Linked DNA regions of Nothobranchius furzeri. The protein of the gene in region 1 purifies or fractionates together with the protein of each later gene. This does not show direct contact. Links are inferred from orthologs where the notes say so. Each region holds a gene or a part of one and is shown in the gene's direction. Other genes may lie near its edges.

The links. The genes of interacting proteins can lie anywhere in the genome.
Region 2: the proteins of nuclear cap-binding protein subunit 1 (region 1) and ncl fractionate together in Homo sapiens (co-fractionation; 3 studies listed by BioGRID and IntAct, with this or other methods). This does not show direct contact. The link is inferred for Nothobranchius furzeri from reciprocal best matches to the Homo sapiens genes NCBP1 and NCL.
Region 3: the proteins of nuclear cap-binding protein subunit 1 (region 1) and kpna3 purify together in Homo sapiens (co-immunoprecipitation; 3 studies listed by BioGRID and IntAct, with this or other methods). This does not show direct contact. The link is inferred for Nothobranchius furzeri from reciprocal best matches to the Homo sapiens genes NCBP1 and KPNA3.

Annotation. Positions count from the first base shown.
Region 1 is NC_091741.1:71,540,353-71,544,000, reverse strand, and holds part of nuclear cap-binding protein subunit 1, read left to right. Parts: intron 1-1,081; coding exon 1,082-1,184; intron 1,185-3,085; coding exon 3,086-3,179; intron 3,180-3,273; coding exon 3,274-3,377; intron 3,378-3,648. UniProt on the Homo sapiens protein: Component of the cap-binding complex (CBC), which binds cotranscriptionally to the 5'-cap of pre-mRNAs and is involved in various processes such as pre-mRNA splicing, translation regulation, nonsense-mediated mRNA decay, RNA-mediated gene silencing (RNAi) by microRNAs (miRNAs) and mRNA export.
Region 2 is NC_091748.1:62,945,106-62,949,415, reverse strand, and holds the start of ncl (nucleolin), read left to right. Parts: upstream 1-1,440; 5' UTR 1,441-1,610; coding exon 1,611-1,628; intron 1,629-2,540; coding exon 2,541-2,636; intron 2,637-2,712; coding exon 2,713-2,821; intron 2,822-3,066; coding exon 3,067-3,216; intron 3,217-3,289; exon of another isoform or gene 3,290-3,427; intron 3,428-3,511; coding exon 3,512-3,799; intron 3,800-4,172; coding exon 4,173-4,310. UniProt on the Homo sapiens protein: Nucleolin is the major nucleolar protein of growing eukaryotic cells. It is found associated with intranucleolar chromatin and pre-ribosomal particles. It induces chromatin decondensation by binding to histone H1.
Region 3 is NC_091754.1:26,747,654-26,751,780, reverse strand, and holds the start of kpna3 (importin subunit alpha-4), read left to right. Parts: upstream 1-1,257; 5' UTR 1,258-1,389; coding exon 1,390-1,458; intron 1,459-3,902; coding exon 3,903-3,947; intron 3,948-4,127. UniProt on the Homo sapiens protein: Functions in nuclear protein import as an adapter protein for nuclear receptor KPNB1. Binds specifically and directly to substrates containing either a simple or bipartite NLS motif.

The DNA of each region.
Region 1 (3,648 bases):
TGGTTCCTAACCTGGGGGTCCCAACCCCCACAAGGGGGCGCCAAATCCTCTCAGTGGGTCGCCAGGACCTCTCCTTTTTAAGGGGTTAAAACTTCATTTATTACTTGTTTATAGCCTACATTTTGCTCACGTTTTTTTTCATGAGTGAAAAGTTTACTGATATTAAGACAGGAAATAATTAGTACAGAAAAAGTAACACACTTTTAAGAACATTTTGCTCAGCTCACTGTGTCAAAAGTTCACTAAAGATGGGACTGGTTGATTAATCACAGCCTTTACAGTAAATAATCTAGTATAAACAGTAATATACACATTTAAGTACATTTTGCTCAGTGTATTGTGTATGTGTCAAACGTTTATTGAAAGGAATGATTGATTTATCAGTGTTTACAAGAAACAATGTGTTCAGAAAAGTAAAACAAACTGTCAAGCACATTATGCTCTGTTTGGTTTTGTTAATGACTTTGTTCTGTACTGGAGCCTACAATTACTGTTATCTATTGAATCAAAGCATATTAAAATGTGCTTGAACAATTTTATCATTTCTTAATATTATTTGTACTGGTTGAGAGAATGGGAGGGGGTCGTCAAAAATTTTACTTGTAAAAAACGGGGTCCCTTGGGAAAAAGGTTGGGAACCACTGACCTATAGGGCATGTTGTGATCTGTGGGGGAAACCGGAGTACCCGGAGGAAACCCACGCATGCATGGGGAGAACACGCAACTCCACGCAGAAAGGCTGCAGCCGAGTTTCGAACCTGCAACCTTCGTGCTGCGAGGCAACAGTGCTAACCACTGTTCCACCATGCAGCCCAGCCTACTGAAAGTAGCTTCAGACGACAAGATTTGGAGTCTTATTTCCGTATTTCTGGATATCTCTCCTTCGTTTGGATAAGAACAACACAACTCTGCCACTGACTTGCAATGTGGATGTTTTATCTCCACAACTTACACAAGCCTGGAGGAGTTCTGCTGTGTGGTGGAGTTGCTAATGCATGATTTTCACTTCTGTCAGAAGCTAATGCAAGAGATAGGTGTAGAATATTTTCATGAATTCTGTTGCTGTTTGATTTGTTTTCAGATGAGGGGGAGAGCTTCAACCCTCTGAAGATCGATGTGTTCCTGCAGACCCTTCTCCACCTGGCAGCTAAGTCCTTCAGCCACTCCTTCAGCGCCCTCGGCAAGTAAGTTCAACCCATAGCTGCTGTTGGGTTTTTAACCAACATGTTCTGAATTTTTTATGCTTCTATCACCAACTTTGCCAACACAGGGCCAGTGCTGTTTAGCGCAGGGAAACAAAGACAAGCTGGATACTGGTCTAGGATTGAGCACCCCTGTTCTAGGGTCTCCTGAGCTGTTTTGGGCTTTAATTTTGTTTAAAATCTGCCTGCCCTGAGTCCCAGAATAACTGCAGGGGGGTTTAAAAAATCCTGGTGGTCAGACAAGCCATTTTCTGAGTTAGAACCTCTTTTTTTTTCCAATTCAATTCAAGTTTAAATATATAGCACCAATTCACGACAAGAGTCGTCTCAAGGCACTTCACACAGTAAACATTCCAATACAGGTCAGTTCATTAGGCCAATCAGTGAAAAGTTTCCTATATAAGGAACCCAGCAAATTGCATAAAGTCACTGACTAGTGTCAGTGACTTTATGCAATCTTCATACTAAGCAAGCATTTAGCGACAGTGAAGAGGAAAACTCCCTTTTAACAGGAAGAACCCTCCAGAGCAGCCATCCACCGCGACTCACTGGGGATCGAGAAGACAGAGCTGACACACGCATCCACACACACACATCCACACACACCATATATACCAAGTAATGTTTCTATGGTTATATTGTGATTTCTTAGTAAATATTCTATTTGCTGAGGGATAAACTTTAGTGTATTTATCCTAGTGAATCTATAATTCAACAGGTAAACTAGTATTAGCACATTCAACATCAAAGAAAGTAAAATGTTATCAGGAGAGGGAGAATGAATTAGTGGTTAGCAGCAGTGTGCTAGACGATGGCCCCCTCCATGAGGCCACCACAGTTCAGCAGAACGTCATTGTAGCTTCTTCTGGGGAGAAAAACACTTAGAGAAAAAATAAAGTTAACAGCTGAAATTGCAGGAAATAATACAGTTAAAGAGCAGATTGTAGAAGAAAGTAGTCAAGTGTGGAAAGTGTATCCTCCAGCAGTCTAAGCCTATAGCAGCATAACTACAGAGTTAACTCTGGATAATCTATCCTATTTAGATGTAGGCATGTTGGAGGCAGGGCAAGGGAGAGCCGTCTTTACCGACTGTACACTCCACCTCCTTCTACTCCCCCACTTGTCCAGATTTAGGCTAACATCAGATTTTAACCAGAGGCCCTATCAAATAAAAATGTTTTAATCCTATTCTTAAAAGTAGACAAGGTGTCTGCCTCACGGACTAAAGCTGGGAGCTGGTTCCACAGGAGAGGAGCCTGATAACTAAAAGATCTGCCTCCCATCCTATTTTTAGATATTCTGGGAACCACCAGTAGACCTGCAGTCTGAGAGTGAAGTGCTCGGTTAGGAACGTATGGAACAATCAGATCGCTGATGTATGATGGAGCTTGATTATTAAGAGCTTTATATGTGAGAAGAAGGATCTTAAAATCTATCCTGAATTTAACAGGTAGCCAATGTAGGGAAGCTAAGACAGGAGAGATGTGATCTCTCTTTTTAATTCTCATCAGAACTCTAGCTGCAGCATTTTGGACAAGCTGAAAACTTTTAACTACATTCTGTTGTCTTTAAAAGAGCCCCTGAACCTGGAATCTGAATTGGACCCCTTTTAAAGCTAGGGCCTGTTGAACAAAGTCCATCTAGACACTGATCCTCAGCAAAAAAAAAAAAAAAAAAAAAAAACACCCCCCCCAGTCCAACTGTTACCATAAGAGGATGGGCTAGCCTTGTGGCCAGCGCCGGGCCTGGTCTCCTAGACATTACTGGCTTCTTGTGTCATTTTGTGTCTTCTGTATAGAATTCTGACTTGGTTTATTTAGTAAAACACATTTCTGGAAATCTTTAAATAAATAAAGGACTGATGTTGTTTTTACTGCTGTTAGGTTCCATGAGATTCTTAAAACTCTGACCGACAGTGACGACGGGAAGCTTCACATCCTTAAAGTGGTGTATGAAGTTTGGAGGAACCACCCACAGGTCCAGACCACATTAACAGCACCACACTGCTGATGTTTGGCTGTAAAAATGACTTATTTGAATGAAATTAAATGTTTGGGCCTCTTGGTTTCAGATGATCGCCGTGTTGGTGGATAAAATGATCCGGACCCAGATCGTGGACTGTGCTGCCGTCGCTAACTGGCTCTTCTCTCAGGACATGGCCCATGAGTTCACCAGGTGAGATATGAAACATCAGCAGGACATGAAAAAAGGGGCTGTGCATAACAGAACACTAGTCAGGGTTCGTACGGTCATGAAAAACCTGGAAAAGTTATGGAAATGGAAAATGCAATTTCTAGGTCCTTGAAAAGTTCATGAAAAATAATATCCTCTGTAAAGTTTTGGAAAAGTCGTTGAAATATTGCTTGGATAATATTTTGGATGTGTAAAATATAAAAAGTACAATCGCGTACTATGATTAAAATTTACATTGCCACAGAAGTGCAAC
Region 2 (4,310 bases), on another chromosome or scaffold:
TCCAAACACACTCACATCACCCCACTTCTCCTCCAGCTTCACAGGCTGCCAGTCAACTTCAGGGTTCATTTCAAGATCCTGGTTCTGGTCTATAGGGCCTTACATGGACAAGCACCATCATACATTGGTGATCTTCTCCATCCCTACACCCCCAGCGGGTCCCTGAGGTCCAGTGACCAAAGCCTACTGGTTGTGCAACGCACCAGGCTAAACACCAAAGGTGACAGATAATTTGCTGCTGTGGCCCCCAGACTCTGGAACTCTCTCCCCCTGAGCCTAAGATTGGTGGACTCAGTGGTCTCCTTTAAAATACAGCTGAAATCTCACCTGTTCAAGCTAGCTTTTGCGTGACCTTCATCACCTCCCTCCCCTTATTCTGCTCTTATTCCACCTTTCCCAGGATCCATTAATGTCCCTCTTCCCTATTAAATGTTCTCTCTCCCTTTCCTTACATTTTTTTCTTTTCTCCTTTTAAACATATTTTTAATCATTTTTGAAATCTTTTTATACTTTAATTGTTTTTTTGTTTTTGTGAAGCACCTCGTGATTTTTATCTTGAGAGGCAGATAAAATATCATCAGATAGAATCAGATATAAAAATATCATTTTCAGCATGTGTTCAGTATTGTGCAATACTGGACGTACATTATCTGTGTCTCTTATGCTGCATATTTTTGGAAACCCAGTTGTCTATTTGTATTCATTGTTTTGAGGGTTGAATGTTACAAGAACAGGTTACTGCCTATGTGTTTACCTGTACTTTTGTTGTTTTCTTCTTCCTTGTCTAAAAGTGTATGTGCTGCAGTAACAAGGTTATTTCCCCAAAATGGGATTAATAGTCTATTCTAAATAGGGTGGGACCTCAGCTTCTCCAGATGTTTAGCACAGGTTGGAGGAGTCAGTGGCATACACAATGCCTCTGCCCTTTTAGTATTTGCTGTAAAATCCCAGTGTCAGTGTCCCAAACTCTTCAAGAGATTTGAAAAAAAAGTGAGAGGGCGATATCCTCTTTACTGGTACAATTGAAAAACTGTGGTAACGTTTGATCAAAATATATTTTATTAAAGGCAAATTATTGTTGGCGGTTGAAACGTTCGACGTGGCCCTAAAAACTGATTGAATATACCCTGGGTTATGCTAGAACCACGTGGTAGACGCGGTCGATGGTTTACGGCAGCTGACCAAAAGAAAACAGCTGCACGGAGTTGCATAAAGACGCATTGTCTTTGTGTCAACATTTAGAAAATTGCACTTTTTTGGCACTATCCGAAGACAAATCTTGGAAGTTAAACACACAGATAATCTCGGAAATGGTATTTTTAGATGAAATTTGCTCAGGTGTAGAGAAAAAAACAGTCTGTAAACGGCTCGTAGGCGAGGCGCGTGCACGAGGCAAATATGTCAATTTCCGATTGGTTGAAATGGTCATGTGGGCGGGCAGACGTCACAGCGCGGAGCTGGAGAGAAACCACTTCTGCGACCCGTCTGTCTTTCTAGTCCAATGTCCCACTGAGTAGACAGATCCACGTGCATGCAGCAGACATTTTGGTACTTGTCATCAAACCTTTAGATATTAGTGTTTCATTGAAACACACACATCAGAAGCAACCATGGTGAAGCTAGCAAAGGTAAGACGAATCTATATCACATCAAAATGTCCGCGCTGAGCCGTGCTTGAATTTTTTTTTTTTGGCGCACGAGGCCTTTGGCTTAAGGTGCTGCGTTTTTGGAAAAATAAAACCAGTCAAAGTTAGGAATGTGCGCGCATATGTTGCAGTGACAGCGCATTTTCACAACATTTTTAACAATCTAATCCTTCAAAAGTAGTTTTTCCCCCTAATATGTAAAGCATGCTGTATTTGGTCGACGTCTCTGGTTCTGGTTTTCCAGGCCTAGCTCGGCCTGCTAACGCTAGGCGAGTTTTCGTCGTGTTATTTGTCCGTTTCTCTTTTTAAGCGTTTGGGTTTTATTGTGATTAAAAAATTGAGCTTTTTTATTAAACTAAAGTGGGAAAGTAGAGTTTTGACGTTACTGGTAATACATTTGTAATAATGTAACATACGTTTAATCCTATTCCGTTTTAGCATTAGCACGTTGCACATTTTAAGTACGTGGTCCGCATCTTCTTTACACGTTTTTGAGTCGAATTCAAGGGTTTTGTTTTTCGTTATCTGTTGGAATCTTCGTGTCGAACGTTTGTTACCCAAAGCGGTTTGATTTTTGTTGTAGTTTTAGTCGTCTGTGGTGAAATGTAGCCCAGATGCTAGCCTTATGTTAGCTTCACGAGCTCCACGTGGGTGGGCGCACGCTATGAGTGACACACGCGGTGTTCAACCAAAACCGAGAAAGTAGTTTACTGTAAAGGCGGACGGATGTCACGATTGGTTAGTCAGTCTGCATTATTTGCGGTATTTATTTTTGTTTAACTTGGATGAACTTGAATTGATATACTTAAGCTTAACGGTTGAGCTGTAGATTCGTTTTGACTGTTGTGTAGTCTTTCTAGTTTTTATGGATTAACACTGGCTTTTTTTTTTCAGGCAGCAAGTCAACAAATTAAAAAGAAAAAAGCCCCCCCACCCCCCAAAAAAGTGGAAGAGGAATCTAGTGAAGAAGAAAGCAGTGAGGAGGAAGAGGTATAACACTTGCTTAGTTACTGATATCAGTTTGTTGAATTCAAATAACTGAACTTTCTTTCTTTTTAAAATCCAGACCCCTCCACCTAAAGTAGCAAAAAAAGCAGCAGGTAAAGCTTCCCCAGCAGTCAAAAATGGTACCCCTGCCAAAAAACAAGAAAGTTCTGATGAAGAGGATGATTCTGGTGAGCTGCACTAATAAAATTTAGGTTTTTCAGGTCCTATTGATGTCATAATAAAATAATTTTCAAGGGATATCCCCGTCAAACTCACACAATGTACTCTTATTTAGCCTACACATAACGAGCTGCTTAAGAAAGTTTATTTTAAATTATAAACCTAAATGCATAATTTATTAGTTGCATAATTGATTTTTTTCTAAAAGTTAAATTTTATTTGATTTGTGAAATTATCTCGTGGTCACCCACAGAGGAATCTGAGGAAGAGGCACCACCACCTAAAAAGACACCTGCAAAAGCAGCATCTGCAAAGACAGCTGCTAAAGCCACAGCAGTGAAAGCAGCGCCTGCCAAGGCTGAGCAGTCTGATGATGATGACGACGACGAAGATGACGATGATGGTATGTGGTGGTTTAGACTTTTTTTTTTTTTTTTGTTAACTTTGACTAAGTGAATAGTGAAGTGGCCCCACACCCTCCATTTCTTGGCATGCATGCAGTTGATTGGTACTCATGTGTGTAATGTACGGAGGAAAAGTAAAGGCAGCGCTATGTCTTCGGTGCCGGTGTGTTTTAATGTCTGCCGGTTCTATCCTCAAACGCTGTTACATTGCTTCATGTTTTGTTTTCTGCTCTATATGAATCTTACCTAGAAGTGAGGGTGAAAAATAACCCAATTTCAATGTTTCTTGTTCAGATGAATCTGAAGAGGAGGCCCCACCTCCCAAGAAAGCAGCAAAACCAGCAGCCAAGCCTCCTGCCAAAGCCCCAGCAAAGGCCAAACCTGCTCCAAAGGAGTCTTCTGATGATGATGACGACGATGATGAAGATGATTCAGAGGAGGAGGAGGCAGCTCCACCCCCAAAGAAGGCTACTCCAGCCAAAGCAGCTGCCGCTAAACCTGCGGCCAAAGCAGCTGCTAAATCTGCAGCTAAAGCACAGCCTGCTAAAGAGGAGTCTGACGATGAGGAGGACGATGAAGATGGTAAGCCTGATTCTCTATTGTTTTTAATTATTGACAAAGAAACTTTACGCTGGACCAGCTTTAACTGTGTGATGAAGAAAAAGGGACTTAATACTGATTGTGGTTGATGTCACTTTTTACATATCTGATGTTGGTCAAAGCTGCAATAGCAAATCTGCAAAACGGGCCAGCTTTTAAAAAGTCGCCGAACTCTCTTTCCCCGTCAGCTATCATAATTTTTAACTTCACAAACTATTTTTGTCTTCCTTTAAGAGGCACGAAAGTGTTTTAGACTAGTTAGTTTTGCAGATTTGCCATTGTAGATTTAAAAGGATCATGTGATCTAAAACATGGGGACAGGAAATGATGTCCAGATCTGATGTTTGTACTCCAGACTCTGAAGAAGAGGAGATGGACACCACTCCAGCTCCAGCAGCCACCAAGGCAAAGAAAGCAGGCATGGTCAAAGCCAAGGAGGAGTCAGAGGAGGAGGAAGATGATGATGATGATGATGACGACGAAGATGATGATG
Region 3 (4,127 bases), on another chromosome or scaffold:
GAGCACCTTTTAAAACCACTTGATTATAAAATATGCTGATGACGCTGTAATTGTGGGTCTGCTCAGAAATGCAAGCAGACACGGTCCAGCCATTTAGTCTTTTAAGACACACATCTGCAACCTGAAAAACAAAGGACACGATTTCAGAAAAGCCATCAGTACTCCATCAACCAGAACAAAAGGACAAACCATTGATCAGGTGCCAACTTACCAATTTATTGGGAAAACGATGGGTTCAAATTTAACTTTTGAAAAAGGGTGAGTTTGTGTGCAGGAAGAGGCAGCAGCTATACTGTTTGTGGAATTTAGCTCGTTTTCAAATTGATGAAATAAAAAAAAAGATTACAATATTTTAGGGGTTTTATTGAATCTTTACAGTATGCTCTAATGGGAAACAGGCTTCAACACAAATGGTTGTTTTCCGCTTGGTCCTAGAGCTCAACCAGTGTCAATTTAATACAGCGTAATATTGTTTTTGGAAGGTAAAAAGTGCAGGGGTCAAAACTTGACTTTGGAAAAAGTAGGGGGGACATGTCTCCCTGTCCCCCCCCCACTCCCCCCGCCAAAATTACCTCCATGTGTTTGATGCCTTTCTAATTTCTGACAATTAATTGTTTTTTTGTGTGTTTGTGGAAGCGTTGTTTCCAGCTGTTCTCTCTCCTTGACCAGGGCAGCTGTAAAATATATTTTAAAAGTCTGCAATCCAATCACAGTTGTCCTTTTCCACAACCTGAGTGCCAGGGCGATGTGGCCTAAAATCAATATCACGATACTTCGAGGATTTTACCTCGATACCGATAAATGGACGATAATTACAGGTATGTACAGAAACAAAAGTTGTCCACTAGATGGGGCTTTCACTTGTATGACGTTGAGTCAAATTTTTACGTGACTCAAAGGGACATGAATGTTGCCAACTTACACACATCTTTTCATTTTTTTACTATCAAATTTTTAACATGGGAAAAATGATCTCGATAAGAGTCAGAATTTTTGATAATGATACATTTTCGATTTGTTGCCCAGCACTACTCATGCATAATGTAACAAACTGATTGCTGAACCCTTTTCTTTTGGATTTCCTAATAAGAGAGAAGTATCCACTGTCATGTAGAACGTAGAAGGGTGCACACTTTCCAAAAAGCTACCAAACGACTTTTTATTGTAATAAAGATTTATTAGGCACCATGGCATCAATTTCCAGTTCATCTGCTTGCTTTGATCTCAGGTGTTGGAAACCAGGACAGCCGATGTAACTCCTCCCCCCACTCTGCGATCTCCTCCTCCTCTCCGGAGCCAGCCCAGCCGCAGCAGCACAGGAGCTGCCGTGCCTCGTCTTTCACGGAGGAGATACAGACAGCCGGAGTAAAATCCAAACCCCGTACAGCCATGGCAGACAACGCCGGCTTGGAAAACCACCGCATCAAGAGCTTTAAAAATAAGGGACGTGATGTCGAGGTGAGCTCTTTTTGAGGATATGCGTTTAAATGTCTTTAATCTTAATATTTTAATGTAGATGGGAAAAGCCGACTACCGTCAGGCCTTGCTTGGTAGCCTGGCCCCGGCTGAAACTTCCCAGCCTGCCTGTTAGCTAAGCTACCACAGGGTGGTCGCCATCAAAGATTTCATTACATGAAAATTAAACTCTTAAAGACGACAGCTGTGATGGACTTCAGCGTGGATAAGTCATAAACCTCAGCAACCACTGTGACTGAAAGCTGGATCATAGTTGGGCTTTTAGAACTATGAGAATTAGGGCAGGCGATGTAGCTGTCAGTGCCGGTGTTTTAACGAAAAAGGTACCCCTGCCATTAAAAGCACACTAGTCGGAAATGCGTTATAAATTAAACCATGGTTTGTTTTACTTAACTAAATTAACCACGTTTTCTCCACATATAAGTCAAGTATCGTTTATTCTGTAAAGCTATGCAGTTAATTAGATTGTAATGATGTATTCGCAGTAGTTATGTTGAGGTAGGCTGCTAGGATGCAGTTTTTTTTTTACCCTGGAAGTCTTCGAAATCATGCATCATAATGTACATTGTTTTTTTCCCCCTATAATGTACGTTTAAAAAAATCTTGGCCATAAATAGACGTTACCCAGTGACTAAAGCAACTTATCTCGTTTCTGAACGTTAAGAATATTACAAATTTAGGTCTAAATGTAACGATAATTTAAGTAATCCTAACAAGCTGTCCTTAAATACGCTTCCCATGATGGGTTTCTTTGGCGACTGGTGTACTTTTTTCGACACGACACTAGCTAACTTTAGCTAGCTAGTTTGATGGACACCGGTCTCAAGCGAGGCGGGGCCTACCCGGCTTCAAAATCGCGATATTTCCAATCTTTTTATGCCACCCCACTGTAAACAAAAATGCTAACCAAAGAACGTCACATATAATCAATATTATATGGACAAGTGTGATTTGGGTGGATCGGTGACGGGTGCTCGTTTACCCTAGCCACCCCTCCTCGTTAGCATGCAAACGCGAGCCTGCCAACCGAGCAGCTAGTGTTGTGTCTATCTGTTTTTCTTTAAATATTTGTATTTTCAGTCACCATTAAATTAGGTGACTTTCCTCACAAAAGCAAAGGATAACAAGCTAGCCATTCTGTTAACTATAACCTGTAGTAAAAGGTTATGTCGAATCACAAATGCCCTAACTCAGCATTTCTGTAAAAATTTAAATGTAGTTTACCGTTTTATTGTAAGTCACATTCTAGAAAACACTAGATTTATTTTGTGTACCTACTAGCATATCTAAAATGCTGCATCTTTCACTGAATTTGTCTAAATTGCTCATTGACACTGTAGCCAAAGCAGTTGGTAAAGGATTTGTTTCAAGTTTAAACAAACAAAAAATAGCAAATCTATCATTTCTGGGTTAAAAAATGTTCAAATCAAATGACTAATCTACTCTGGACTTGTTCAAATTATCTGTGAAATGTAAACAATTTTCTTTTAGGGCATTTCTCTCAGCCACAGGGGGGATTACTAACAAAAACATACTTGTTTTAGTGTTGTTCTAATTTATCGGTAATCCCAAGATAATCCACAAACAAAGGTATGTCTGAGAATGCCCTTTCCAAATTCACCAGACGGGAGTTTCACCATCAGAGTGGTGCCTGTATTGGTTGTTTTGAAACTGGAAGTGTGTGTTCGACAAGCACATGGCTACTGGGATCGAGCCTCTGCCAAAGTGCATTCCTGATGCTATTTCAGGCATCTTGGAAGTCTGACCCAGTCCTTCTCAGAACCTCGGCATGAAATTGGGTTTTTGAAAGTGGGTGACTCAGACTACAGCAAATTTGTTTTAGGTCAGCTGCAAAAGAGTGCATTTCATTTTTAACACCTATTGAACTGAATGAGGTCCCACACCCAGACTTAGTATCTTAGTTTTGAATATTGAAAAAGTATTCCATTAATTAGAGTTTTGAAATCTTTTGCTCGACAGATGAAATGTGAGCATTGCTGAAATCATGTGATAATTCACATCTGTATTTAAGAAGCAGTTTAGTTCGGATCAGTACCCCTGGCATTATCATTGTTTTGCAGTGGTCTGGAGCCGCTTCTCTGTTATGACAGCCCAAAGTTACGTAAGAGGCTATTTAGGATGGCAACATGAACCTCTTTAACAGTCACAAGATCTTAGACCATCTCAAAATGCTCTGGATGAGCGAGAAACCCAACAGATGCACTTATACAGCAAAACTATTAAACAGTTTCTCATCACCTGGACTAAAATGAGTTGATTTTCACCTCAAACACAAAGATACGGTCATTTATTGTAACATGTTACATTTTTATCTCTTGTTGTTTTGTAAGACTTCCATCACACTTAAATGCCAGTGTGAAACTATATAATCTTGTTCACATTCTTTGTATTTTCTCCCGTTTCAGACTATGAGAAGACATCGAAACGAAGTGACAGTTGAGTTGAGAAAGGTGAGAAAAGATTCACACGACAGTATTCAGGAACACACAAGCAAATGCACGCACATAATCTGTCCGCGTAAGGCCGATCTGTTTCTGACTCTGGAACAGCAAAGAACGCACATCAGTTTTAAACTTCTGACAACATATAAACAACGTCAAATAGATGATAGCGTTAGTTATTGGATATTG